4 linked regions of the Notamacropus eugenii genome follow. The protein of the gene in region 3 interacts with the protein of the main gene of each other region in a pairwise test. Links are inferred from orthologs where the notes say so. Each region holds a gene or a part of one and is shown on either strand. Other genes may lie near its edges. The genes, in order: CCHCR1, C4H8orf34, MTUS2 and CDKL3.

Region 1 (7,005 bases), on a different chromosome or scaffold from region 3:
GGAATAGTGATGGAAGAAGACATGTTAGGAGACTACAGCAATATTCTAGGCAGATAGTGTTTGGGGTCCATTTTAACATGAGTTCCAAAAGGAAAATAGGTAGAATATTTGAGTACTAAGAAGTAAATGAAAGTTTTGGGAGAGAAGCAGGATATCTGAATTCTGAGAAGTGGGGAAAGAGAACAAGGAGGATGAATGGAGAGAACCCTATCCTAACAGCCCCAGCCTGCTTCCTTCAGGTTCTGCTTTACTCTCAATTCTCAACATCTTCCTGGCCAAGCAGATTACTATTCTAATTGAATATCAAAGGATCTTTGCTAAAGTGATTATCTCAGATTAATTCCCTACCATGTGGAACTGAGACAAATCCCAACTAACACCTAGTATTTTCTTATTCTCATTCACCTGTTCCTTGTGCACCCTCTGAGTCTCTTCAAGCTCTTGTCTGTTTCCTTCTTCCAATTTCTTCCGAATGAGCTCTGCCCCAGCCAAAGCAGCACGAAGCTCCTCCACCTCAACCCGCATTGCCTGTTTTGCCTGTCCTAAGACTTCCAGCTCCTCACCCTGGCTTGCCAGATGAGCCTTCTGATGGACTGAAGCCAACCGCAAAGCCTGGCTCTCAATCTCAAGTCTCCGAATCTCTTCCAGTTGTTGAGAGATCATTTCAGTTCGGGAATTCAAGCCTTGTGGCCCTACATAGTCCAGGGACCTTTGGGGAAAGTTATAGGTGAGATATGGCCTCTTTGGTCTTACACAAGAAAGGGATGGACAAGAGGGCCGCTCTGTTTCCATCTAGGTAGTTATGAGGACTTCTCTGATCTGATATGTAAGGATAAGGAAGTGAAAAGGGTGCCTCGGGGGAAACTGGAAGTCAGTCAGACACACAAGAGGATGCAAAACCTGGAAACAGTAAGGATTCTGTGATCTACTCCTTAAACATTTACTTAGCACTTTTTATGTGTAGGATACTAAGCTAGATGCTGGGGATACAAAAAGGTATGTACCATAATCTATACCTTTAAGTGTACTTAACGGGCCTTATCCTAGTTGAGGGAAGGCATTCACATACGTAAAAAGATAACAGTTGCATCTATTGCATAGTTGCATCAATTAAGTGTACCTCATGAATGGTACAATGAGTGCTAGGATATCTGATTCACAAGTAGATGAAGACATTATGAATCTAAGAGTTCGGCTTGAGGTGGAAAAGGAAGGGATACTCAGTCTTCTGTGCTCTGGTTTGAGAGAATGAGGAGCCTGAACTCCAACCTGAGGTAGGGGCAGAGAAGGCAATGGATCCTCTTGTTCTAATGTGACAAGAATAGGGGCTGGTTAATAATTTATTGAGCATTTACGGTATAAATTCTCCTAAACCTTCTGAGAGGAGGCAATAAAAATAAAAGACATGATCCCAGTCCTTGAGAAACAGCTCTAATATCATCACAATGTTATTTCAGAATCCATGGCTGCCTTATAACAAAGTCCTTTGGTAATTCAGGAGCAAAAACAGTAGCGGACAGGATCTAAGATAGACCTGCCTGTAACTCCACTCTAAAATCAATAATTTTATTAAGACATTAAATTTAGAAGAGTCAGGATATACACGTGAGACAAGAAAAAATACAAAAGATCAAATAATACAGTTCAAATTTCATACACAAAAGCAGAAGGTACACAGAATTTTAAAAAATCAGAACTGTTTGTTTTCTATCTTTCTTACAAGGGAAGGCTTGTGGGGTAAGATAGGAGAGAAGGGTATATATGGAAATTAATGGAAAATAAAAGAAAAATCCATCAATTAAACTTTTAAAAATAATTAACACAGAAGTGAAGAACAATTACAGGCAGAAGCTAGAATAACTAGATCCCTACCTGGTCCTTCTTTTGGGATCCTCACTATCACCTGCCCCATCTTGTTCTCTCAAAATTTGTAGTCTATGATGCTCCCATCTACGATCATTGTTATCATAGCCGTGATGGGGTGAAGGCAGGACTATGGGTAAGGGTGGGGACTGGACAGAAGTGGTCCTGGACATGCTTGGAAGGGGCCGTGTTTGGAAATGAGATGGAGGCATGAGCCCAGTGAGACCTGAGTAAGCAGAGGACAGAAAGGTCAATATTGAAGGTATAGAAATAGGGTATGCAATCTCCAATTCCATAATCCATCCCTATCCCTTTTACCTGAAGACTGGAACATCCCAAAAGTGGATGGGGGTTCCAGGTTCTTTCTCCAGCCATCCATTTTTTCCTGTGGAGCAAGAGAAACACCTCAAGCTCCAATTCATTTTCCAAGGTTCCAACCAATCCCTGGGAAAGATCCTATGATAACCTTGCCAATTCCTTAGGTAATTTAACATCTATCCAGTTATCATTTCTTTCCTTCCCCTCCCCATCCCTATCACCCTCATTTTTGAAAGTGACAAACTGGAACATCTATGAAATAATCAGTGGCTGGCTCCCACCTAGCTTTGATAAGAGACTCCATAACACAAAACCCACGATAAAAAATAATTTTCTAAGGGAAGCAGGATCTAGGATTAAGGCCTCCAGACCCCTGAAGGTCTACATGGCATTCATAGGACTTGGGTAGCGCCTTTCTCTCCCCTTTGGGCTCTACTTTTCTTATTCTGTGATCTGAAGGTGAGTGAGCACGTACGGAATTAAAGGGCTAGGGAAGCAGCTCCACTGGATGGTTTGCTCAGGGTGGCCCCGGGGGTTAATCCCCTCCCCCCCACCATTATTCCCAACACTGATTTCCCACTCCCCATCAAAGAGTCAGCATACTGCTTGGCACCAGACGAAGTCTGTAAGATGCAGAGATCTCGAGTTACCATTAACAGCAAAGCAATTTTCGGAACCATCTTCCTGGGTGAGCAGGAAGTCTAACAGTCCTTTGCCCATGTGGGGCCTTCTGCTCATCTCTAGCCCCTGTTAGTTTGTCTTTCATCCCACCCTGATGCTCTCACTTTCTCTCTCTATGGCGCTTACCATCCACTCCAGCCGCCCTCCTCCCCGCCTCTCCTGCACCCCCGTGCCCCGCCCCCTCTCTCACCCACTTTGTTCCCCGTCCTACGCTCCCCCCTCCCTCCCTCTAATTTGCTCGGCCCGGGTCCCGTCACAATTGCAGCTCTCTGGCCGCCCCTCAGCGCCCCCGCTTCCCCCAAGCCTCCCCTAGCTCCTGCTCCCTCTTCCCCGGGCCCTTCGTGTCCCTCCTCGCCCCGTTCCTCGTCTCTCGGTGCCCCCTCGCCCCACGGCCCCAGACCTCCAGCACTTCCTTTGCCCTGCCCCTGTCCCCCTCAGCTCCCTAGTGCCCACGTTCCCTTGCCCCCCTCCACCCCTTCCCGCCCTCAACTGACTCACTCTCGTGCCCCCTTACCCAGCGCGAGACCCCACCCTCCCCTTGTTGCCCCACCTCCGCCACAAAGTACCCCGCCCTCCACAGACTGACCGCGCTTGCGCAGAGCGGGCCAGCCGGCGGGCTCCGGGACCCGCGTACTTCATTCGGAATGGGGAGGGAGGGAGGACGAATCGAGACACGCAAGCGCCGTGGCGTCCATATGGTGAACCAATCCAGGGACTCGGCCTATCCCCGCGCCCTTACAGATCCCTCCTCCCCACCGAGCTCCTCCTCCTTTCCCTGAAACCCGGGAAAATTCAATGGCCAATCGGGAAGCGAAGAAAGCGGTCGCGCCGGGTCCTTTTTGTGCCTTTCCTGACTACCGCCCAATGGGGTCTGGGCGATGGAATGAGGACTGTCCAATGGGGAAATGGCATCGGGAGGGGGCGGGGTATCTGAGGCGCGCGGAATTCGGGCCCGGGGAGTTTGCGAAGGTGTTGGACGCTCGCCTGTCCTCGGAGGCTCCGCCCAGCTCCGCTCCGGGCCCGGCTTCTGCCTGAGCCCTCTGCTTTTGCTAGCCCTGTCAAACTTCAGCCCGAGCGTGCGCGCGGGGGACAGGGTGGGGTGGGGGTCCTGTGGAGGGGGGACTGGGGTCCTAGCCTCCTCGGTCGAGGTTTGTATTGCCTGAGGGAGGGGCACGGCACGCTGAGATTGTCCGGCACTGATTGATCCGAAATTAGGCTGCCCGGGCTGGGGGGACCCGCGTTTGCATTGCTTCGGAAGCAGTAGGACCCCAGGTTTGCATTGCACTCCAGAGGGGAGGGAGGTAAGGGATCTTGCTTCGCTTTACTCCAGAAATAGGGATCCTCAGCCCGCATTTCCGGGGTTGCAGTCTTATCACCTTGAAAGGTTCTTAAGCCCCCTGACAAGAGTGAGGTGTTGAGCCAGGAAAGTTGCGGGGGGAGGACCTCTGGAAAAGTCCTTTTGAAAGAAAGGGCCCCCTCGCCCCCAATTGCACCGAATAACTAAGTTATTATTAAACAGTGGTGGAAACCGGCCTCATTACGATCCCTACTGTTACATTGTACCAACTGAGTATACAATAGTATCCAATACTCCGGGTGTTAGTTAGTTTCACGGGTTACGAGCCGGTCCTTAATTTAGCCTGATACATCTTCCCTAGTTTTGCATTGCACCGGGGATGACACCTTAATTTTTTTCTTTCAAGGCCAAGTTGTCCCCCTCGGTTTGCGAGCTGAATACCTTCCAAATTTTCGTTGTACTGAACCGAATTGCACAAGAATTGTACTCCAAGTTTGCATCTGAACATCTCTCCATTTTTAATTACCCAAGGGTAGAAAGAGCTATGTATTCCCTGACTTTAGAAGGGAGTCCATAGGGGAAAGCCCCTCCCCCCATGTTGCCCTGCTTCCAGCTGCTTCGCATGGGGGTTGGGAAGGGTGGAGATCTCTATACTTTTCACCCTCCCACTGGGGCTGGCTGTACCTACCACTTGGGCCTCAGAGCTGACCTGTGTGATGTGGCCCTTCGGCCCCAGTGTGAGCCTGTCCTCATCTCCCCGGTCCATGCCAAGCTGCATGCTGAAAGCCAAGGTGACGACTGGAGAGTCAGCCTGGAGGACTGCAGTAGCTACGGTGAGCCTGGACGTGGCTGGCTCTCTTTTTAGGCAGATAGGTATAAATAGGTATGGTATGATTTGAGAAGTACCCTAGGACCCAATTGTCATTGCCACTCAGATTCCTCCTCTAGATTAGACAGCAAAGATCAAAAGACTTAAGTTGTCTCCAAAAGGTACCTGCTGTCTGTTAGGGTGATGTGCTATATGTGATATGTGTGTATATGGATGAAAGCCTTTCAGAGCAGATTAATTCCATGGTTGAGTTATGAGATTAGTTCCATATTTATATTTTATTACAGAATTGTTGCATTTATCCCATGTCACTTGATCTTTAAAACAATTGTGTGAGGTTTCCCCATTTTATAGTTTTCTGAGATTCAGATTAAGTGACAATTCATGTTTCTATAGCACTTTAAGGTTTATTGGTCATTTTCCTACCAGCAATCCTGTGAAGTGTAGGGTAAATATTATAATCTTTGTTACAGGGACTGCTTACTAGGTAAGGGGATACAAATAAAGAAACTGGGTACTAACTATGCTTTGCCCAAGGTCACATAGTTAGTAATCGTCAAAAGGTTACTAGAGCTCACTCTTTCACACTCCATACACACTGCCTGTGTTTTAGCAGATCAGCAAGCTTGCTCACCTTGGAAAGTATAAAACAGGTCCCAAGGGAACTGTACACAAGATAACAATTTTATTGCGGAGCAAGAAAAAAGGGGGTGAGTGGGGTTCAGTTCTAGAAGAGAAGAGAAAAGGCAGGGAAGCTCTGGCACAGGTTTTCCAGGAGTTGGCAATGAAATTAAATAAATATAGGGACTTTTTAAGATCACATCTCCAAGGTACACTCCCTCTGCTGCTCACTATTAGTCCAGGTTCCCAAGGCTTTAGTATTTTTCTTTGTTACTTTGGCCTGACCATGTTGTTCAACCGTTTAGCTGTCTGACGTTTCATGCCCTCTGGACTTTTATCCAGGGGTTTTCTTGGCCCTTGCAATAGCCATTTCCTTCTACAGTGGATTTAGGCAAACAGATTAAGTGATCTGCCCAGGGTCACACAGTTTAAGAGACCAGATTTTAATTTAGATCTTTCTAACTCCCAACCTATCCACTGAGTCATCTAGCTGTCAATAGATTTCAGGAAAGGTTCCTTTTGATCCAGAAGATTTTTTAATGTTTGACCCAAAAGAAATAGGAGGTTTCTTCTGTGTCTCAGAAGCCTCAGGGAAGCCCTAAGGTCCCTATTGGTGGGAGGGGGGAATCCCAAAACTAAGATTGTCCCTGTTTGGAACAGGTCTGGGTGTCTAACTAGCCCCATTGGTTTCTTATTGTCAGTGAAGACTGAGTCTTTACAGAATATGATTTTAAAAGGACAGGGGAAGAATTACTAACTCTTTCCATTCTGTGCTAACTTTGTTAGGAAACCCCCAGGAGCAGTGAGCTGAGATGATTGGGGGAGCCAATCCCTTCAGTTTACCTGGAGCCAGGCAGGATAGGAAACTAGAGAGAATGCCTAGTTATGCCTGTGAACTCATCATTTATAGAATCAAGGTCCTGATTCAAATTCCAGCTTGTTTCTTACTTTGTGTGTTATGGAACTCTGGGCTGGTCCCTTTCCCTGCACTAAAAGAATGATTAAAGCCCCTTTTAGTTTTAACAGTTTACAAAACAGTCCCTGTTGTCAAAATGCTTGAGGTTATGATCTGAGTGAAGCTGAAATGGGAGGAGAGGATGATTCACCTTAGGAAATTGGCTATCCTACATGACTTTTTGACTGTTATCTTTGTCTTGCCTTCCTTTCTCTGCCTTTCTTCTCTTCATCTGTTTTTCCTTCTATCTCTCTCCCTCTCTTTCCCTCTCTCTCTGTTCCACTCTCCTACTTACAGGTACCTTGGTCAACAATGTCAGGCTCCCCAGGGGTCACCAACTGGAACTGAGTGACGGTGATTTCCTAACCTTTGGCCCTAAGGGGCCTGTGGGAGCCAGCCCTCCTGAGTTCTACTTCATGTTCCAGCGTGTCAGAGTCCGAC
Region 2 (6,854 bases), on a different chromosome or scaffold from region 3:
CCATCTATTTCTTAGCTTTTCTTCTATCACTTCTCACTGCTGATCATTCTTCTCATCCTTTGCCTTGACATTGGCTCTGTTCTAGAGGTATCAAGATCATATGTATATAAGATTATAGACTTGTGTTTGTCCTTCATTCTCGAAGAGGACCATGACATCATGAAGGTGATGCCATGACATGCAAGTGAATTAGATGTAAGTGAGAGAGAGCTGTGCAAAGTTACCAGCCTCACAGTCTTCCGAAGCCACCTGGATCCAGTGACAAGAAATAGATCACGATGACTGGAGATGGCCCCTAGGATCATAGACAGAACTAGAAGAGATTTTAAAGGTCACATAAGTCAACCCTCTTAATATACAACTGAGATAACTATGTCTCAGAGAAGGTAACAGCAGAACTGGGCCATAAGTTAAGGTTCTCTAGTACCAAATCCAGGGCTCTATATCAAATCTGTATCAAATCCTCTATATTAATCTCAACAAAAGATAAAAGTGTTATGTAAAAAGGTGTATGTCACAAATTCCTCTCAACAAAATCAACAATCATGCTTAATTAAAATACATTTCAAGTCATAGTATAAATTGCTGGAAACATACTGTTGGAAAGATACTTTCCCTCTAAACTGAATTCAGTATTTCATAGCTAAGTGCAATTGATCATATTCCTGATGCTTCCTTAATTGAGTGTCACCCAAAGGCTCTTAAGGTTTTCAGAATGGCATAGAGAAAATAATGCTGGAAACAGAGTCTGACGATCTGAATTAAAATCCCTGACTGGGTAACTTAACTTCCTTGGGTTTCAGATTCCTCTTTTCTGATATGAAAGAGTTGATCTCTAAAGTCCCTTTCAGGACTAAATCTATGATCATCAAAGGCAAGTATCAATCACTAGTTCATTTGCTTCAGGTTCTGTGATGGGTGTCCTCCAGATGGAGTTAAGCAAAGACCAGCAGGTATTCTAGGCATTTGATTATATGCACTTCTAAGCTGCTTTGACAAACATATCTCTAATACAATGAGGACAAGGCAGTGTATTCACAAGACTTGAAAGGAAGAAAAGGATACACCAGAAAAAAAAAAGACTAAGATGTGATGCTATTAATATACATGACTACAGAACTTAAGAATGTGTGTGTTTAACATCTTCAATTACTTTTTTTCTAATCTAGGAAAATATTAAGGAAAGAAGGAAGATCATATTGCTGTAAATTTTGATAATCATTGTAATATAATTCATGAATTTTTTTAATGTTATTCATTGTTAAATAATTTCCAATCCCTAAGCCTTTTGAAAGCAAGGGCCCTAATTTCTATATTCCAGGGCCTCGGTACAATGTTCTCAAAGAGTTAAGAATTTATTAACTGATTGACTGGCAAAAGCCATCATTTTACGTCTCCTAAAAATTCCAGGCCCTTTATTTCAGAAATAGTCATGAATTTTCAGTACTATATTTTGTTTTAACTTTTATTTTTCTCCTTGAAAGTAGTAGTCATTTAAATATTTCCTCATGGCGGACCTTGAATCATACTCGCTATCCTAATAAGTAACTTATTAAGTCTTAGCTTCTCATTTCCTTTCCTTACAGCACAACAGAAAAAATAATTGTGTATGTTTATACACATGCAAACATATGGGCTCACTAGACTTTAGAACCACAAGCGACCTTATAAATAATTAATTCCAACTCTTTAATTCATTTTATATGACACCTAAAATATATTGAGACCACTAGAGTCAAAGTGTCAGACTCTTGCTTACTATATAGAATGAATCTGTTTTTACTGAATTTAAATCCACATAGGCGGGCCGTGAGAGTACTGCATTTAGAGCAGGTAGCTTAGACATCCTCAAACAAAATCATTAGAAGTTCATGGATAAATTGCTGGGTTTATTAAAGTCCCTGATCATTAGAGGAGTTTCTATCTCATCTCTGAGTTAAGATCACATGTTATCCCTTGGAGAGAATAGACTTTCACATAACTGTAGCATGTTCCCCAGAGGAGAAATAACTAAAAAGCTAAGGGAATAAAATAACACCCATAAGTAGATATTTGAATTCTAGTCACTCAGACATATAGCAAAAAGCTAAGTGCCTTTTAGGGCTACAATTTAAGTGAAAGTAAAGCATTCCTCTTAAGAAAAACATCCAAAGATGCTAATGCTGAAATTATATCACCTTTTAGTAAAGGTATTCTTAACCTGGGCTCCCTGAATTTTTAAATATTTCGTAACTATATTATAGTTTCTTTTGTAATTCTATGTATTTTATATGTTTAAAAATATTATTGAGAAGGGGTACATATGCCTCATCGGACCATTAAAAAGGTCTGAAACAGCATGAAACAACAACGATGTTCTTAAACCCCTGTTTTAGTGGTTCCCTGAACTCGGGGGCCATGAAAATGATGTTCTGTGCTATATCCTATTCCTAGAAATGAAGAATGTAGAAGAAATGACTGTTTTTTTCTCAAAACCAATTTTCACCACTTCATAAATGCAAACCTTGGTGGATGAACATTTGGGAGACAAGAAGACACTGGAAAGAAATTCACTAGTATTTTCTATTTAGGTTTGTTAAGTCATTAAAGCAAACTTAAACTTCTGAATAGGCTGTGAGGATGTACAGCAAGTACTGAAAAAAGAATCATAAGCCACACTTTGCAAATTTAAACTAAGCACATTTAAAAATGCTCAGCTTGACTGTTTACTTAAGGTAGGGTACCAATCTAAAAGCAGGGATTCTTAATGTGTGTGATGGAGCCTTTTCACAATCTTGGGAAGCCTATGAATGTATCCCTTCTCTGAATAATGTTTTAAATGAATACAATGAAACATAGGATTTGGAAGAAAGCTAATTTTACTGAAATGGGATCCATGATTTTTTTAATAAAATGATAACTGTATTATAAGTTAAGAACTCTAAATATAAAGGAATGAGAGAACTGAGAGCAAAATCGAGATCAGTACTTCTCTAACCGTTTCAAGAGTCTTCTCCTGGCACAGTGTACCTCTTCTCCCCCCACTCCCACCCCGACCTCCACCCCCACCCCTCCCTCTTGCAATCACTTTCCAGAGGGCCATAGGTGAATGACAAGCAAAGAAGGGGGTATTGGAGAGGAGGGGTTTAGATCTGCATTTGCAGACTGCCTCGGAGTAGCCAACAAGCACCAGATTTATGTGCACTTTGAAAGAAGCACCTTCACTATTGGCTTTTTGAGAGGTGCTGTCGCTAGGGAGCAGCTGGTAGTGAAAGCACAGCAGCTGGGGAGAGCTGGGCTGTTGTTCCAGTAACCAAGTAGCAGAGAGAGGCGCACACAGGAGACACACACACACACACACACACACACACACACGCAGAATCCCTGCTTTTAGACTGTTATCTTTCTTTAAGGAAGAATTTAAGCCAGGTATTTTGAAAGGTTGAAAGGACTGTTGATTTAGATTTGCAAAGTGTAGCTTATGATTTTTTTCAGTACCTGCTGTTTAGCCACTCCACCCAAGCTGCCAGGAGCCCTGGGGTCATTCAGCTTTCCCCTCTGTGCGCTCCATGTGGTCCAGCACACAACGGATCCCTCCTCTCTAGTCTCTCTCTCTCTCTCTCTCTCTCTCTCTCTCTCTCTCTCTCTCTCTCTCTCTCTCTCTCTCTCTCTCTCTCTCTCTCTCTCTCTCTCTCTCCTCCTCCCCCCCCTTCCTTCTTCACCCTCTCCTCCAGATGCCCAAAGGAAAGCGAGGAAACCCCTCTCTTTAATTGTCGTTCCTCTCTGGGTGTGCCTTTAGGGAAAGGAGTCGGGGGCGGGATGAAATGAATGAGTTGTTCCCTTGTAGACCGAGTTGCTGGAGTTAGCATCACGCCTGGGACTTCCTGCTCCCCCCACCCTTATCTCCACCCCCGCCTTCTCCGCTGCCCACGCTCCTCCCCGCTTTCCGTGTGTTTCCCTCCTTTCCTCCTCTCTCCCTGTATCTTCTCCCCGCCCCGCCAGCCGGCAGCCCGGCTGTGCTGGGAAAGGGCGGGCGCCGGCGTCTGCTGGGGTGGGTGAGAGCTAGAGCGAGCTCGGCAGTGCCGGAGTCGGTGCCTGAGTAATCTCGGGGCATCTGGGGAGGGAGAGAGGACCAGGCACTGGGGAGAGGCGTGAAACCCTCCCAGTCCGGGCGCTCTCCATGGCGCATCATCAGCAAACGAGGATCCAGGCTTACCTGGAGAAGAACAAAATAGGTCCCCTGTTTGAGGTAAGGCTTTCTGGCGGCGGGGCTGGAGGATTCATCTTCAGGCAAAAGAGGGGACATCAAAAAGAAACCCAAATGGACATCTGGGAGAGTAGGAGGGAGAAGGACCTGGCAGAAGGGGGCGCCCCGGCCATCCCAGGGTACCAAGGCATTTTGCTCAGGAACAGCCCCCAAGGCTGAGAATGGGGACAAGGGGTTCGGGGGCGGGAGTGGGGGGAGCTGTTCCTAGGTTACCTGGGCTGGAGACGTCCCCGGGCAGGCAGGTGAGATCGACAGGAGGAGCGGGCCAGAGGAAGTTGAATCCGTCTTGGTGGCATGCCAAGCTGTCTTATTCGCTGTTATCTGCATGCTGTCCCCCAATCACAAACACAGGTACCCTCACAAGCGGGCACTATCTCCCTCAACCCCCGCCCAATACACACAAAGCACACACATGCCCACCGTTGGTGTGCTCCTAATATAATGCACACGCTACCTCCCTGTATTCAAAACTCTCTAGGTTTGTTCGATTTTGAAGGGAGATACGAAGGTGGCAGGAGCGAGAACTGGAGAAAATACTACTTAGCTTTATGGGGTGGGGGTGGCTTTAAAAGAAGACACTCTCACTCTAGCCGGGGGCCCAAAATGGGCTGGGCTGGAGAGAATTCTACTGAATCTCAGACAGTGTGTGTGTGTGTGTGTGTGTGTGTGTGTGTGTGTGTGTGTGTGTGTGTGTGTGTGTGTGTGTGTACACGGGGACGGGGGGAGACGCATATTTGGTTAAAAGGGGGAAAAGGATTCAAGAAAGCTGCTGCCCAAAAAGATGGGTCCAGGCAGAGAGAGAGCCTGTTGGTTTGTGAGACAGAGGAATTCAAGCGAAGGAAAGCGTCCCATCCGTTGCCAGGACACTGGGGTGGGTGGGGAGAGTGCTTTGAAGACTGCAGTCCCTAAGTCAGTTCAGTATATATGTTAAGGAGTGGAGGGCGGAGGTGAGGGCGGAGGAGAAGGCCGTGGCGGGGGACCCACTACTCATTCCCCACTCTTTTGGTAAGTCCCAGACTTCAGCGGCCCGCCCGGCTCCAGGCACACTCCTGGAAGAAGCATGGGGAAGAGGGTCGGTCTCACTAAACAACAGTGGTGCTCACACCTCCCGCAGCATCTCTGCTGCATCTGAAAGGGAAGCAGAAGCCGGCATCAGGGAGGCGTGTGCCCTGGTAGTAATGGAGAGACAGCTCTTTCGCTTTTAGGCTGTTTCCTTGTGACTGAATTCAAACTAATGTGAGCTGCAGGGAAATGAATGCAGATTCCAGGGGAACTGGTGATTCGATCTATGGAAGATGATTCACTTCCCTCTCTTTGGACCTCAGTTTCTTAATTTGTAAAATGGAAAGGAGTTAGACTAAAATCTAATCACTTAAACATCTCTTCTGTTTCCAAACCTATGATTTTAAAGGTTTCTATGATCAATGATTTAGAACCCCTCATCCACCCCCTTTTAAAACTAATAGGAGTGGTTTTAAAAGTGAAGGAGCTACCTTTTAATTCTTTTTAAATTGTCATAAAATGCAGAACTGCAGTAAGGTATATCTGGATATCACAAAATTAATATTGACAAGGAAGGGTGAATACTACTTTAAACCCAAGTTATTTATCATTATTCCTCTCTTTGAAAAATACTAGCCTGATTTCAACTGACCTGCATTACTATTTGAACAGGAGGATAGTGGTCCAGTAATTGTCTTCATTTTTCCCCCTTGAAAGAGGTAACAATTGAAAACACAACTGTGAGGGAATGGAGTTATTGATGCAACTCTAATTCTTTTCTTTGCCTTTAGTCTAATTATTGCACACAATGCATTATTTCACATGTATGATTTTAAAACAGACTATTTGAATAGTCTTTCCACCAGCACATCATGTTAGCTACATCTAAAGAACAGCTTAGTTTTAACTCAAAGAAAAGGAATCTTGTATTTTGCTAGCTGTTCTCTCAGAATTCATTATGCTTTTAAAATAAGATGATGAGAGTTTTCATTCTTTAAAAAATCTCTTTGTTATAAAGATGTCACAAGTGTAGATGGTGGTCAGTTCTAGGAATGATTACAGTGTTTGGTACTTATGTAAAATTGGGACATACTAATGTAATCAAATAAATGCACGTGTAGGCTTGAGTGCCTGTTTTCATTATTCAACGCAACTGAATTCTTAGTTGAAATAATGGTGCATCAAAATCCTTCACTAAACACTTACCTCATTTTACCCAGATGACCTCAAAAGTCTCTTCCAGCTCTGAGTTCTTATGTTCTTATCCATGATCCCCTTTCCCCTTATTTTCTGGGTCCCTATTATGTGCATTTCTCCTAGCTTGGACTGACTTGATGAAGTGATCTTCTTTCTGGGGTTGATAAGACATTGGCTTTAAATCTTTAGGAGAAAAAAATGTAAGACCTCAGAAAGAAGGATATCTGGACCTTGATCTTCTTGTAACAATTTTGATAAAGCCAGAACTTGGCTGTCAGAGTGAAGAAATTACATATCCTTCACAGAATCACAGAAATGAGAACAGGAAGAAGACTAGTAGGTTATAGTCCAATTATTAACTCTTTGGTACAAGAAAAGCAGTTGATACAAAGCTATTTGTGTTATTGAA
Region 3 (7,667 bases):
GCTTTATACATTAGCATTGAAATCTTTAGAAAAGGGCTTACACATATAATGAGACATACTTATGTAATCTTCTAGACCAGTAATTCCCAACATTTTTTTGTTCCATGAACCCCTTTCAACAACAACAAAAATGTTTTGAATCCCCAAGGTAATTTAATATACTACTCATAATATTCTTCACAACTATTTAGTGCTTAAGGAATCATTAAAAAAAATTTGAATGCAAACTCCTTGGATCATTGTTAAGAACCTGGATTCATGAACAACCCAAGGGGAACCATTATTGTAGACATTGTACTTATCTCTCCACTTACAGAAATAGTCCTCTAATTTATTACAGTATTGGGTCTGGTCAACTGACACCAGGCATCCCTGTTTCCCTATTTTTGACTTTAATAATATAGTTTGCTGGCAGTTACAAAATAGCCAAACCTGAGTTTCATAAAATACCTTCAACTCAATCATACCTTTTACCTAAGACTCCACATAAAACATTTGCTGAAACCAGACACAAAATATCTAAATCTAGAAGTGTTAGACAAAAATTATAAGACAAAGAAGTTTTTTGCACCCCACTCAACTGTCTGTGCTATTTTATATCAAAGGCAACAACCAGTTTTATATTTGATAGAGAAAATAATGAAATGCTTAATGACTATTGGTTATGTTATTTTGTAAGCAAATAAAAATAATTACACTGCTGTCTAATCTGTCACTGATGTCTCCAAAAATTAAAAGAGACTATGGCATATTCAAGTTTTAAAAGTCAGATCCTGAATGTTGGAAAGAATTACAAGTTACAAGTATTTCACTGAAATAAAGATCTAGTATATTTCCAAAAAGACTACATAAAAAGTATATGTAACAATTCTTCAGTTGTCCTTTGCAAAACTTTATTTTATCCATCTTTAATTACTATTGGAAAAGCACAGTAGCTCCTGAGTCAAGAAGGCCTGAGTTCAAGTTCTTACATCTCTAATGCAAACTATCTGTATCAAAATCACTTAACCTTTCAGTGACATGCAGGTAACTAAGTTTATACGTCACAGAGTAAGTGTTCAGCTGCATTAATAAGCAGTTTCCACGCAGGGAGTTCCCTATACCAACGAACTCACATTTCTGGGACCCCCGAAAAAATGGTATCTTTCCTTTCCATTTTATTTTTTATATTCTTCTTTGCTTCTGTAACCAAAGTGAAATCTGTCACACAAAGTAAAAGAAAAAATTTGATCCACACAAACCCACAATTAGTAATAATACAAACTGTTGTGCATCTTATCTGTTGTCTTTTGCCAAGTATCACCTGTTGAATATTTGTTCTCCTGATGATTGCAAGTCAGTCAACAATCCCTGCATAGAACTGGTCACGGTGATGCCTGATGAGATACACTCAGAGCAGGATTGTACAAGTGTGTGGTTTGTAGGGTTTGTATTTCACTGTCTAGCCAGCAAAATACCTAATCTGATTAATCATTAAAAGTGATGAAAAGGAACCAGAAAGTCCTTCTTTTATCTGAATCCACTTTTAGTTGAGTTACTTTAACTAGCAAGGAATATTACTAAATTTCCAAAAATAGCCTCTAAAAAATGTTATCAAAAATTTTTGAAAACCTTGTAAGTTCTGAATTCTGTTTCTACCACTATCATGGTAACAGTCAAATAATTTTTACCCGACTTTGCGACTTATTGAACAATATCTGTTTCATTTAATTCTCCTAAATGCTTTGCACTGTTATCTGCTTTATGCCTCAAGTATTCTTCCCACGGTTGAAATGCTGTCTAAAACTATCCTATACCATCTTAAGAGAGGACCTCAAGCTAGACGTGATCACCCCTTCTGGCACGCTTTTGTTTTGAGGAAGAAATGTTCTTAGCTCTTCTCTCAGCTTCCCCCTAGAGGCCTCGGTGATCACTTTACATTCTAACCAATGAGCAGGTATTTTTAAATGTACTTGCATAACAGTGAGTATGGGTTTCTTCTGGTATCCTGCCAGACACACTTATTCCCCGTTTGTATTTAAAATAGAACGGTAGTACCATCACTCTCATGTGCCAGAAATCCCTTCTGTGCATATCCTCCAAGCTAAATCGTATGTATGTATGAAAAATAAAATAGGTCTCATTATAAAGTTCAAAGGACTTAGCATGACCATGCTAAATTAAGAGTACGGCGGCAGACTGTAGCATCCCAGGCCGGGAGGACACTCCAGTCTTGGAACTAACCTATCCCACCCTTAGGAAATCCTTGTGTTACCCAAACAGTCAGCACGTGTGTGCCCCATATAGCCATATATGCTTCGCAATCGCCGACACCATTCAAGAGGGAATCAAAAAGCTCCTGCATCTCAGTTATCTGCATGCGGGGTGCACAGGGCAATTCTTCTTGCAAAGGGGAAGGGAGGAGGTGCCTTATTTCGGGGTGGGGGGAATGGGAAATGCCTACTATGGTCTAAACTGTTCCCTCCCACACCCATGAACGTGGGAGCCAGGGCCAAAAATAAAGACACAGCCCAGAAGATCCCCATCGGTTACCCTAGTCTTAGCAATTCCAGAAGGAAGCGAGGAAGATGTCCAAAACTAAGCGCACGACGACACTTAATTAGGCTGTAGCCAAAAGCTAGGACCCGGACCCCCATCTCCAAGTGTTTTCCAGTAGTTGGGGGCTGGAAGGAGGCGCGGGGTCTTGCTGAGGGTCCGAAGTTTCGGAGGGGGAAAAGGTCATTGCGGGTGCCCAGGCAGAAAGAACTTGCCAAGCGGTCCAGGAAAGGAGGGGCGAGCCGGGAGAGGGAAAGGAATGGAGCCACACCTGGGCTGCACTTCCAACAACTGTCACCACCAAACACCTCCCACGCATCCCACACGCAGATGCCGAGCGGAGGCAGCAGCAATCTCGCAGCCGCCCTAGCGTCAGCCCGACTCCCCACCTAGGACTCACCTGTCCGCGGGTACCCCCCGAGGAAGCTGCGGCCGCTCGACACGGGTCTCCAGGCGCGCGGCGCAGAGCCCGGGAGAAGGGGCGCAGAGCGGTGGAGGGTTCCGAGGATGCACCTGGTGCCGCAGCAGCAGCAGCAGCAGCAACTCCCCCTCCTTTCTTCCCTCCCTCCTTCCTTTCCCCGGACAAAGAGAAGCAGCGGTAGAGGTGGAGGCGGCGGCTGTGAAGCCGGCGCCTGGAAACGTGCGGCGGAGCCGGTGTCTCTCGCTCCAGATTTACTGCCCTCCCTTACAGCTTGGGGAGCGGGCGGGAGGGAGCGGGAGGCGTGCACACCCCCACAACGCGGCAGCAAGCACGGAAAGCAGAGGGCGCCTCCAGCCACCCAGCGGTGCCCAGGGCTTGCTGTCGGCTGCAGCCGCAAGCCTGGAGATGAGCGAACAGCGCCCTCTGCAGCCCCCAAACCCCCGGCGATGGAAGCGTCGGGAACAGCGGCCCCCCAGGTACTTTGTGTTTTTTAACCCAGGCACCTAAAAGCATGGGCGTTTTCATTCGCACCTCTTAAGCGCTTGGGGATCCTGGCCTGGCCCTCTGAACTGCAGAATATTTGTGTCCCGACAAAGGAGAAAATAATAGAGGCTCTCCTAGTCAGGCTGTGTATGCAAGTGTATCACTATCTAGGATGTCAATATCAACTGTAATTAACATTTAGGATAGAAGAGGCGGTAAGTTTAAATGCTAACCAGAAGAATTTAGATTTGGCACTAGGAAGAACTTTAGACTAAGGTTTATGAGAGGCAGGAACGTTCAGTGAAAGGATGACTTGTAGTATTATTAAATATTGTTAATAATACTGTGTTTTATTCTGCGTTCCTCCTTCGTTTTCGAAGAAGACCATGACATCAGAGAAATAACGACGTGACTTGCACTTGACTTTGTTTTGAGTGAGGGAGGGCTGTGCATACTTTATGCCTCTAGGAAAATATAGGAAGAATTATGTGTATATTCTTTTCTTAAGCAGCTAAAGATGCTTACACCTCATCTGGAATACTGTGCTTAGTTCCAGGCATTACATTCTAAGCATCTGCTTAGGAAAAGAGTACACAGGTTTTCCTACTATGAGACATAAGTCCCTCTGCAATAATCCAAAGGGTCATAGCAACATAGATTTAGGGATGGAAAGGATCTTAAAAGTCCAACCCTCTCATTTTGCACATGAGGAAACTGAGGCCCAAGAGGAGAAGTGAACCACCCAAGGTTATAGCAGTGATAAGGAGCTCACCCAGATTTTTAGTTGATTCAAAATCCAGTATTCTTTTCACTCCACTACCATCATCTCAACCTTCTCCTTTTAGCTGGCAGGGCTAGGAACACAATATGGCCACACTACTCAGTTTCTATTTTTGAACCGTTCTATAAAGTCATTTCTAATATTAAGCCAAAAACCTGACTCCCTATAATATCCAGATTCTGTTCTCTGGATCCAAGCAGAATCTCCTTTTACCTAAGCTTTAAATATTTGAAAATAGTCACCATGTCACCTCTGAAATCTAAATGGTCCCCAGTTCTTCCAGGACATATTTTCAAATCTCTTCCCCATTTTAGTTGCCTTCCTCTGAATCCAATTCATTTTGTCAATGTTCCCCTTAGAATATTATACTTAGAACTGTATTCCAGATAAATTCTAACAAGGGACAAGACCACTGAGCTGACAGCTCCAACTTTCTGCACAATAGAATTCTATTATTACCTTTCACACCTTTTGCTTGACACAGTACCCCTATTTACTCATCGACCTGACTAAACCCCTCCATGTAAAACAATTTTAACAATCATTTTTTAAAACTTTGAGTTCCAATTCTTTTCTTCCCCCCACCCTGTTCCCTCCTTCTTTCTTGAGAAGGCAATTTGTCATGGATAATACATGTGAAGTCATGTAAAACATATTTCCATTAGTCATGTTACAAAAGAAAAGACAAAAATAAAACAAGAAAAATAACGTGAAAAGGGGTATGCTTTGATCTATATTCAGAGTTCATCATTTTTCTCTCTGGATGTGGACAGCACTTTTCCTCACAGGCCCCTTGAAATTGTCTTAATCAGAGTTGTGAAGTCTTTCTGATACTATGCACAATGTTCTCCTGGTTCTGCTCACTTCACTTTGCATGAATTCATTCATGTAAGTCTTCCCAGACCTGGTAACTGTATTGTTGAGTCAGAGATTACACAGTTTTATAACTCTTTGAACATAGTTCCTGTTGCTCTCCAGAATGATTGATTAGATTAGTTTGCAACTCTACCAACAGTGCATTAGTGTCCCAGTATTTCCACTTCCCCTCCAGCATTTGTCATGTACCTTTTATTTCATATTAACCAATCCAATAGGTATGAGGTAGTTCTTCAGAGTGGTCTGAACTTTTATTTTTTTAATCAGTAGGGATTTAGAGCATTTTTTTCTTCTGAAAACTGCTTGTTCACATTCTTTGACCATTTATCAACTGGGGAATGGTTCTTATTTTGTTGAATTTGATTCAGTTCTAGTTCTCTATATATTTGAGAAATGAGGCCTTTATTTAAAAAAATGCTGTAAATTTTCCCTCAATTTCCTGTTTTCCTTCTAAATTTGGCTGCATTAGTTTTACTTTGTGCAAAAGCTTTTAATTTCATGTAATCAAAATTATTTATTTTACTTCCCGTGATCCTTTCTATCTCTTGTTTGGTCATAAACTCTCCCTTTATCCATAGATCTAACAGGTACATATTTCCATGCTTCCCTAATTTACCTTATATCACCTTTATGTCTAAATCATTTATTCACTTTGGTTTTGTTTATGTATATAGTATTAATGTTGGTCTGTGCCTAGTTTCGGCCAAACTGCATTCCAGTTTTCCCAACAATTTTTGTCAAATAGCGAGTTCTTGTCCCCAAATCTTGGATCTTTGGGTTTATCAAACAATAGATTATTATGGTTATTTACTTCTCTGTATTTGTACCTAATCTATTCCTCCTATCCACCACTCTGTTTCTTAGCTAGTATCAGATTATTTTGATGATTACTGCTTTGTAATATAGTATGAAATATGGAACTGCTAGGCTGACTTCCTTTACATTTTTTTCATTAATATGATATTCTTGATCTTTTGTTTTTCCAGATGAATTTTTATTCATTCATTATTTTTCTAGCTCTATAAAATGATTCTTTGGTAGTTTGATTGGTGTGACACTGCATAAGTAAATTAATTTAGATAGAATTATCATTTTTATTCTGTTGGCTCAGTCTACCCATGAGCAGCTGATATTTCTCCAATTGTTTAGATCCGTCTTTATTTGTATAAAAATATTTTATAATTGTGTTCATATAATCCCTTCATTTCTCTTGGCATGTAGACTACCGAGTATGTTATATTGTCCGAAGTTATGTTAAATGGAATTTCTCTTTCTGTGTCTTGCTGCTGGACTTTATTGGTAGTGTATAGAAACAGTGATGATTTATGTGAGTTTATTTTATAGCCTTTAACCTTGCTGAAGTTGCTAATAGTTTCGACTAATTTTAGTTGATTTTCTAGGATTCTCTAAACATACCATCTGCATAATGATACCATATGATATGATGCCATAATGATATGATACCATATCATCTGCAAAGAGTGATAGTTTTGTTCCTTCATTGCTTAGTTTTATTCCTTCAATTTCTTCTTCTTATCTTAGTGTTTCTAGTACATATTGAATAATAGCAGTGACAATGGACATCTTTGCTTCACCCCTGATTTTATCGTGAAGTCTTCAAGTTTATCCCCATTACTGATAATGCTTACTCTTGGTTTTAGATAAATACTACTTATTTTAAGAAAAGGTTCATTTATCCCTATGCTTTCTATTGCTTTTAATAGGAATGGGTGGACCCTCAGCTCTTTTTTAAATGATCTGCTGTCAGGCCAAAAGTATTCATTCCTATGCTTGTGGAATTAGTGTTTTTGAAACCAAGTATAATTCTTTACATTTATTCCCAATAAATTTCATCCTAATGGATTTATTCACTCATTTCTATCTACCAAGATTTTTTTAGGATTCTGATTTTGTCATAGAGTATATTACCTGACCTTTCTCAACTTGGAAATAAGGGATTCAATTCATTTAAATATTAATTAAGTGGAACTTTGTGCCCAGCATCTTGATGGGCACTAAATTGTTTTGCCTGCACAACTCCATGGTACTCTCACTTGATAGTGCTTTTACTTCCAGCCATATTCCATAACTAGAAAGCTCCTAATTTCTCTGGAAAGAATGAACCTGGGTCTGGAGAAAAACAGATGAACTGACAAGACCTAATGATGAATTATCACAATCTCTAGTTTAATAAAGTTTATATTGAAAGTAGAATGGAAGGTGGAATTTTTCTACATAAATTAAGAAAATGAAATGATTATGTTTAGTCCCCGAGCACTAAATTAAAAAAACAGGTGTTTCCTGTTTCAAATGAAGCAGCTCTTTAGAATTTCATTTTTTTAATTATGGCAAAGAGTATAATATGTTTTGAAAATAAGGCAATATTTTTACTTGCCATTCCAGAGAGACCACAGGGGAAATGTTGAGAATGCCCTGTGGCTTTTACTTTGATAGCTCCTTCCCCCATTTATAATTATTCTTAAATCTCCACTATCTTAATTAAAAAAAAAAACTTTACTCTCCTGCACCCTGAAGCTACCAAGCCATGTCTCTTCCCTCTGATTATCAACT
Region 4 (6,953 bases), on a different chromosome or scaffold from region 3:
CTTCACTGTAAAAATCTAGTGTTGGATGACTTATTAAAGTAGTCTTAGGATCATAAAGTTTAAATGACTTGCCCAGTCATGTAGCTAGTTTCAGTGATAGGATCTGAACCTAGATCTTTCTAACTCCAAGGCTACCTCTTTATGCTACCTCTTGTATTCTCCACAAAATGATACCAACTCCACTCTCCTTTTCATTGTATAGAATAAGCCATTTATTTAGGGCAGAAAATACCTATACCTTTCTTCTTACAAAATTGGTCATATCTAACGTATATCCACATGCTGGAGAAAGAAATGACAAATCACTCCAGTATCTTTGCCAAGAAAACCTCAAATGGGGTCACAAAGAGCTGGACATGCCTGAAAAACAATGTAGATCCACAAAAAGCAAAAATATTATTTTTGTATTAGACAAAGAAAAAAACTGCCTCCCTTATAGGTGATCACTATCTTTGCTCTGCATATAGCTCAAATTAAAATAAGTATCTAGACAACTATATTCTTAAATTGTTTTAAAAAAAGAAAAGCACTACCTTCTAAACAAAACTCATAGAATTTTGTTTCACCCTTCCACTTCATATCCTAATAACTAAATATATGCATAAGTATTTTAAGCATTACATGTGCATTTATGCTCTTCTCTCATCTAATTTTTTCCCCTGTATTTTCTTGATTTTATGATTTCAAAGATCACTTCTATACAGATCTGCATCTCTTCCCATCTCAAAACTGAATAATGAAACTTCAAATGCAAGGAGTCTAAAACTGAACTCATTTTCCCCTTCAAACCACTTGTTCCTAGACAGTAGTGATGCCATAATTCCCCCAGTCACTCAAGACTAGCTCTGGAACACTGAACTTGGGGGTCAAAAGATTTGGATTAGATTCCTATTGTTGCCTCCTCAAGCCTGTTTCTTTTTCCCTAAAAGAGGGATAATGACACTTGCATTACCTAGGGAATGCAAATAACTTTTTAAAAACTTTAAGAACTGCAAACAGTTATCTTTGGCAGCAGTCAAATCAGGTTAAATTCTTCTGAGGTTATTACTTCCTACGTTTTTGTCTCCTACTCAAAGAACTTTAGCGTGAAATTTCAAAGTCCACCACAATCTGGCCTCAATCTAACTCTCCAAGTCTATCTTTTCTTACCCACTGAAAACGATCTACCTTCTATACATTCCTATTTCCCTACTTTTTCTGTGGAGGTTACCCTGGCCAGAAATACCTACCCTTCTCTACTTATCTGAATCCTACCCAACCTGTAATGTCCATCTCAAATTCTAACCTTTCCCAAACCACAGGGCTCCTAAGAACCCCTTCCTTCAGCACTCATGGTACAACTCATTTGACATTTACACTTTATTATTTATCTATCTGCCTCCTTTAACTGTAAATTCCTGGAGAACAGGGATTGAATCTTCCCTCATGGTTTTTGTAGACAAAAAGTTGAATTTTTGTGAAAGCATGTTACATGTATTATAATTTCAAAATACCTACTTTCTAAAACTTCTCTACAGCTTTTCCCATAAATCATAAGAGGTAAACAATAAAATTGATATGGCACTTCTTTTTTCTACTAGTACATGGATATATATATATGTATATACATATGTATATACGTACACACCCAAACAGCACATAATTATGTCAATATAGCCTAATAAGGAAACAGCTTTTATTTCCTAGTCATTTCTCTTGACTCACATAGCAATTAAGGCAAAAGAAGCAAACCTTTAGAAACTTTATTTCTCTCATTGCAATTTTGTTGACAGATTTTTCCGGTTTCTCATAAAATATCTTAATGGCCACTATCTGCCCAGTATCCTTATGTTTGCACTTCATGACTGTTCCATAACTTCCTTCTCCCACTTTTCCAAGGGTTTCATACATCTCCATTTTCAAGACTGGTTTCTGGTTCTTCACGGAAATAAAGAGGGGGGAAAAAAGACAAATGTTTATACTTGTACTTGCTCCAGGCTGGAGATCTATTTCTAGAACAAATCCATTCGCACCTGAAGTTATTCCTACAGAAAACAAAGAATTTTGAGTATTTAGAAGTCTGTGAACATCTGGTCCCAAATACAAGACGAATAAAAGAAAATGCCGAAGTTTTCTCCCTCCCCCAGTTTCTGCCGTCCTTCTGGGGCACTGCCACAGGCGCTCCCCAGGATGACCTGGTGATTCTGCGCCCAACCGTCCCGGTCCATGCCTTCAATCCTGCCCATCACACGACCTCTGCCATCACCCACTTCCAGCCGGGGGCTGGAGGAACCGCAGTCCTATCTCATCAAACGTGGGGCTCCCATATTGACCCTCCCCCAACAAACCTCGAACCTTCCACCTATGCTCTTTCTACGACCTTCCCCAATCTTGAAGGTGCCAAGGTGGGGCTGGCATCCCACTCCCACTGCGCATACCCACCTAGGCCTCACTTCTCCTGCCTCAGCCCTCGGGCGGGTCTCAGTCCTCCAAGCGCCCGTTATCTCCTCCCCCCCTCCAGGCTTTACAACCCCCAGGGAGTCCCCCCAGGTAAGACCCTTCTACTCCGCTCCCCGCCGCACCACCTCCACCCCCGATCAGAACCTCCCTCTTCAAGTTCCCAGAAGCCTCAGGCCCCTCACGGGTCACGGTAGCACTTCTGCCCCAAGCTTTCCCCCCTGTGCCCCGCCGGGGTAATCTCTCATTACCTAGGCTCCCACACTGCCTCAATCCTCCATCCCCCTCATCAAACCCGCGGTTCCCAGGCCCCGGCCGGGCCAGGCCCGGCGGCAGCATCCCCCTCCGCTCCGCCCCGCCGTTGACCTGGTCAGGGCAGCCGCCGCCGCCGCCTCAGCCCATCCTGCGGCCCCACCGGCCTGGCTCTGAGCAGTCGCAGCCCCAGCCCCAGCCGGCCGCGACCACGCGGCCCCGCCCTGCCCGCCTGGCCTACCACCCACTACCATGGCAACGGCGGCAGGGCGGTGACGGGGTGCGGCGCGCGCAGGACCGGAAGCTTCTGGATCCCCACCCCCGGTTCGGAACGGCAAGCAGCGAGGGACAGAAGAGTAAAAAGAAGGTGGGCGCGGCCTGGGGGTTAGGGGGAGGGGTGTGGTGGGTGTGGCCGCGGGAGAGAGGGCAAATGGGCTGGAAAAATGTCCTCGTCATCAGCCCCTTCTCGCGTAGTCGTTGGAGCCAGAGTGATTTCTGTCAAAGGGCAGACGGGTCAGTGACTGGAAGAATGTTGGCCGAAATGTAAGGATTCGGGCGTAAGAATCCAAAATGAAAAACCCGGGCTCGGCGGAGGGAGAGCCGGAGAGAGGCGCCGGCGGGGCCGGGACAGCCGGGCCGGGAGGGCCCGCGACGATCCGGACTTCAGCGGCCTCCTCTCCGCCCTCCCTCCCAACTCCTCAGCCCTCATTGGAGAAAGAAGGAAAGGCAGCCAGCCCCCTCTGTGGGAGGTGGGGAGCGCGGACCACGGAAGCCCGGCCATCACGACCGGTCATTGCACTTAGCAGTCACCAAGCTTGTACTAAGAGCGTATGCACTAAGCGCTGGAAATACAACGGGGGAAATGGGGGGAACCGGCCCCCGAAACAAAGCCCTGTCCCCCGCCTCAGAGAGCTCACGTGCGCACGGGGAAACAACACGCTGATGTCTCTTTTTACCTCCAGGGGCACAGTGAGGAAGGTAACCTCTGAGGAAGCCCGAGCCTGAGCTGAAGGGGCCGAGCATTTCCAGGAGGGGGACGTGGAGCTCGGAGAACTGGAGTTCATGGGCCACTGTAGGATGTGGTGCAAGGCAGGAAGCAGCCGGATTAGGAAGAGCTTTAAATGCTGAAAAGGAGTTTATAGGGAGAAAACTGGAGAAATGTGGGAGAAAATGGAAAGCCATCGGCGCTCACCTAACAGGAGAGTGACGTTGGGATCAGATCCAGTGCTTGGCATTGGAGTCGGAAATACATCATTGAAGCAAGAAGACTTCCAGTCATTAGAAGGCTGTGGTAGTAGTCCCAGATTATGAGGGTCTGAACTAGGCTTGGGGTTGTATGCGGGCAAGAGAAGGAGATCTAGAGGAGTGATGTTTTGAAAAGGCAAGTGTGGTAATGGGATTGATTGAGGAGGCAAGGATGACACCAAAATTGGGAGCTTAGGTGATTGGAGAATGGCATCCTCAACCAAAAGGTTGGGAAAAGGCTTGGAGAAAAGTAATGAGTTTTATTTTGGACATGTTAAATTTGAGATGCCTACGGTTCAGACTATCCAAGAAATAGCTGGGAGTGGTCAATTCTGACCTAAGGCTGGATATGCAGATTTGGAAATCATCTGCATAGAGAAAATAATTCAACCCATGGGAGCAAATGAGATCATCAAGTGAGAGTGTATTAACTGTATTAAGCAAAAGGAGGGCTCAGGTTGGAACCTTGGGAGACACCCACATTATTAGTAGGTAGGAAATGAAAAACCAGTAAAGGAGACTGAAGACTAATTAACATAGGAGAACCAGGTAGAGTGAAGTAGTTGAGAGAAGATAGGTAAATAGGAAGAGCTTGACTCAGATCCTGTCTCTGGCAAATACTACAGTTATGATCGTAGGCAAATCACTTCATCTTAGTGCCTCAAGGTTAAAATTAAACTACTAGAAATTGCCATTGTACATCACTGGAGGGAGTTTCTACCCTGGGAGCTCCCCACATTGATGAAATCACAGGTCTGAACCAAAACAAGAGGAAAGACTTTCTGGATCATTGTCTATGTGGCATTTTGAGAAGGATAAAGGACTGATATCTGTATGTGTCATAGGGTAGGAGGAAATATGGATGTGCTTTTGTGAGTAAAATGTCCTATTTTTTCTAGAGGAATGATTTTAGCTATGTTGCACAGCTCAGATTTGTTTCCTACAGCTGCTAATCCAGAGCTATGGTAAGAAACCTTTCAGAAAAATGTGGGTTTCCTTTCTGTTATTCACAGCCATGGCTATACTGGTGGAAGTGTTACAAACAACATTAGCAATCCCCACAAGAAAAACCAACTGGATGAAGAATATTTATTGTTCAGGTTATCCATTGTAATTGTAGTTGGATGGGCAGTCCTTTGAGTTAGTCCATGATTACCTATATATCTTGGAGAAAAAAAATGTTTAAAAAAAGGAGGAGGAGGAGGAGAAGAGAAGAAGAAGAGGAGGAGAAGAAAAGAAGGGGGAGGAGAAGAGAACGAGAGGGGGAGGAGAACAAGAGGGAGAGGATAAAAAGGAGAAGAGACAGGAGAAGAATAAGAAGAGGAAGAGAAAAGAGGAGAGGAGGAGAAGGAAAGGAGAAGAGGAGGAGAAAAGGAGGAGGAAGAGAAGGAGGAAGAGGAGAGGAGAAGAATAAGAGGAGAAGAGGAGGAGGAGGAAGAAAAGAGGAAGAGTGGTGTGTTCTGGATTTTCTGGAAAATAACTGTTTTTGACACAAAACTGCATTTAGAAACATTTAAAATATTGCAACAGGGAACGACCTCACATCTTTGGCATCTGTCTCTTCCTCTTTATTCATGTGCCTGGTGTCCTAGTTCAGGTCCTCATCACTCCTGTCCCCTGGACTATTCCAGTAGTTACCTAATTGGTTTCAGTATTTGACATCACTATACAAACATTTCATTCCAGTCAAACTGGTGTATTTGTTCCCGGTACTTGACATTCCACCTCTTACCTCTGTGCCTTTGCATGACTCTTTTTTTCCATGACTGGAATGCCACCCCTCCTGATCTCCTCTTGGAATCTCTAGTGCCTTTCGAGGCTCAGCTGAGGTGCTACCTATTACATGAGGCCCTTCCTCATCTCCTCCAGTTGTTAGTGTCTTCCACCTCCCCGCTCCCCAAATTACTTGTACCATTTACTTTATATATACTTTATATTAACTGTTCGTTATATGTTGTCAGTGGAAAATAAGCTTGATCTTTGTATCCCTGGTGCCCAGTATAATGTTTTACACACTACAAGCAGATGATAAATACTAGAATTGCATCAGACCAAAACTTTATATTTCACCTAGTACCTCTCATGGTACTCATCAAAGTAGTTTTTAATAAATGTATATTATATTATTTGTGATACTTTCATAAAGTCCAATAATTGTTGATGCTCAGTGGTTCAGCTGTATCTGACTCTTTGTGACTCCATGGACCATAGCATGTCAATACTGTCCATGGAGTTTTCTAGGCAAGGACACTTGAGTGGTTTGCCATTTCCTTCTCCAAAAGCAAATAGAGGTTAATGCTCAGGGCCACACAGCTAGTACACCTCTGAGGCTGAATTTGAACTCTGGTCTTCCTGTCTCCAGGACCACTAGCTGCCTCTTTGATGTTAGCAAATAATATTAATGATAATGTCACAGCTTACTTAAAACCCAGAAGACACACCCCTCCCTGCTTCCTCATGCTTGACTCTGATCTCTGGGTCCTTTGCAACTACCAGATATAAAACATTAAAAGGGGAGAATATATGTGTGAAGGGTATTAAGATCACACCTTCAAGCTCTACTCAGAAAAATAAAAGTCTTGAATTGGGAACCTCTTCACTGAGCTCTAATAAAATAAATGGAGTCCAACTTTATTTACAAAGCACTTTCAAAAAGGTATGTTGTATTTCACATACCATATATAAAAGACTGTGCCTCATCTATACTTTTTATAGCTATCTTTTTCTTTTAAAAAATACATTTCATTTTTTTCATTAGCAAAAATTTCTACCTTCTCTCCCTCCAACATCAACCCACCTCCCTCCAGTTGAGAATGAAAAAAAAAACCAAAACAAAATCCATTACAAACATAATCAAGTAAAACAAATCTCTCCAATGGCCACATCCAAATGTCCAAATTGATAATTCTGTACTATCAAGAGTCTCATCACTGGTTTTTTGAAATCATTACAATGATCAGAATATTTAATTCTTTCAAAGTTATCATTATTCTCCAGTTCTGTTCACTTTGCTCTCCATC

Evidence for each region.
Region 1: the proteins of MTUS2 (region 3) and CCHCR1 interact in binary tests that used the Homo sapiens proteins (3 or more experiments, as listed by UniProt). The link is inferred for Notamacropus eugenii from reciprocal best matches to the Homo sapiens genes MTUS2 and CCHCR1.
Region 2: the proteins of MTUS2 (region 3) and C4H8orf34 interact in a two-hybrid assay, tested with the Homo sapiens proteins (2 studies listed by BioGRID). The two-hybrid records come from large-scale screens. The link is inferred for Notamacropus eugenii from reciprocal best matches to the Homo sapiens genes MTUS2 and C8orf34.
Region 4: the proteins of MTUS2 (region 3) and CDKL3 interact in binary tests that used the Homo sapiens proteins (3 or more experiments, as listed by UniProt). The two-hybrid records come from large-scale screens. The link is inferred for Notamacropus eugenii from reciprocal best matches to the Homo sapiens genes MTUS2 and CDKL3.

The regions. Positions count from the first base shown.
Region 1 is NC_092873.1:85,013,151-85,020,155, forward strand, and holds the start of CCHCR1 (coiled-coil alpha-helical rod protein 1), read right to left. Parts: upstream 3,017-7,005; 5' UTR 2,992-3,016; coding exon of another isoform or gene 2,989-2,991; 5' UTR 2,920-2,988; coding exon 2,785-2,919; exon of another isoform or gene 2,657-2,784; intron 2,249-2,656; coding exon 2,182-2,248; intron 2,090-2,181; coding exon 1,873-2,089; intron 710-1,872; coding exon 406-709; intron 1-405. Other genes in the region: TCF19 (transcription factor 19), read left to right, coding at 4,755-4,992, 6,862-7,005. UniProt on the Homo sapiens protein: May be a regulator of keratinocyte proliferation or differentiation.
Region 2 is NC_092875.1:288,735,691-288,742,544, forward strand, and holds the start of C4H8orf34 (uncharacterized protein C8orf34 homolog), read left to right. Parts: upstream 1-3,833; 5' UTR 3,834-4,159; coding exon 4,160-4,228; intron 4,229-5,171; exon of another isoform or gene 5,172-5,251; intron 5,252-6,854.
Region 3 is NC_092876.1:197,081,504-197,089,170, reverse strand, and holds the start of MTUS2 (microtubule-associated tumor suppressor candidate 2), read right to left. Parts: upstream 3,026-7,667; 5' UTR 2,936-3,025; intron 1-2,935. UniProt on the Homo sapiens protein: Binds microtubules. Together with MAPRE1 may target the microtubule depolymerase KIF2C to the plus-end of microtubules. May regulate the dynamics of microtubules at their growing distal tip.
Region 4 is NC_092872.1:340,836,726-340,843,678, reverse strand, and holds the start of CDKL3 (cyclin-dependent kinase-like 3), read right to left. Parts: upstream 3,004-6,953; 5' UTR 2,776-3,003; coding exon 2,688-2,775; intron 2,028-2,687; exon of another isoform or gene 2,025-2,027; coding exon 1,732-2,024; intron 1-1,731.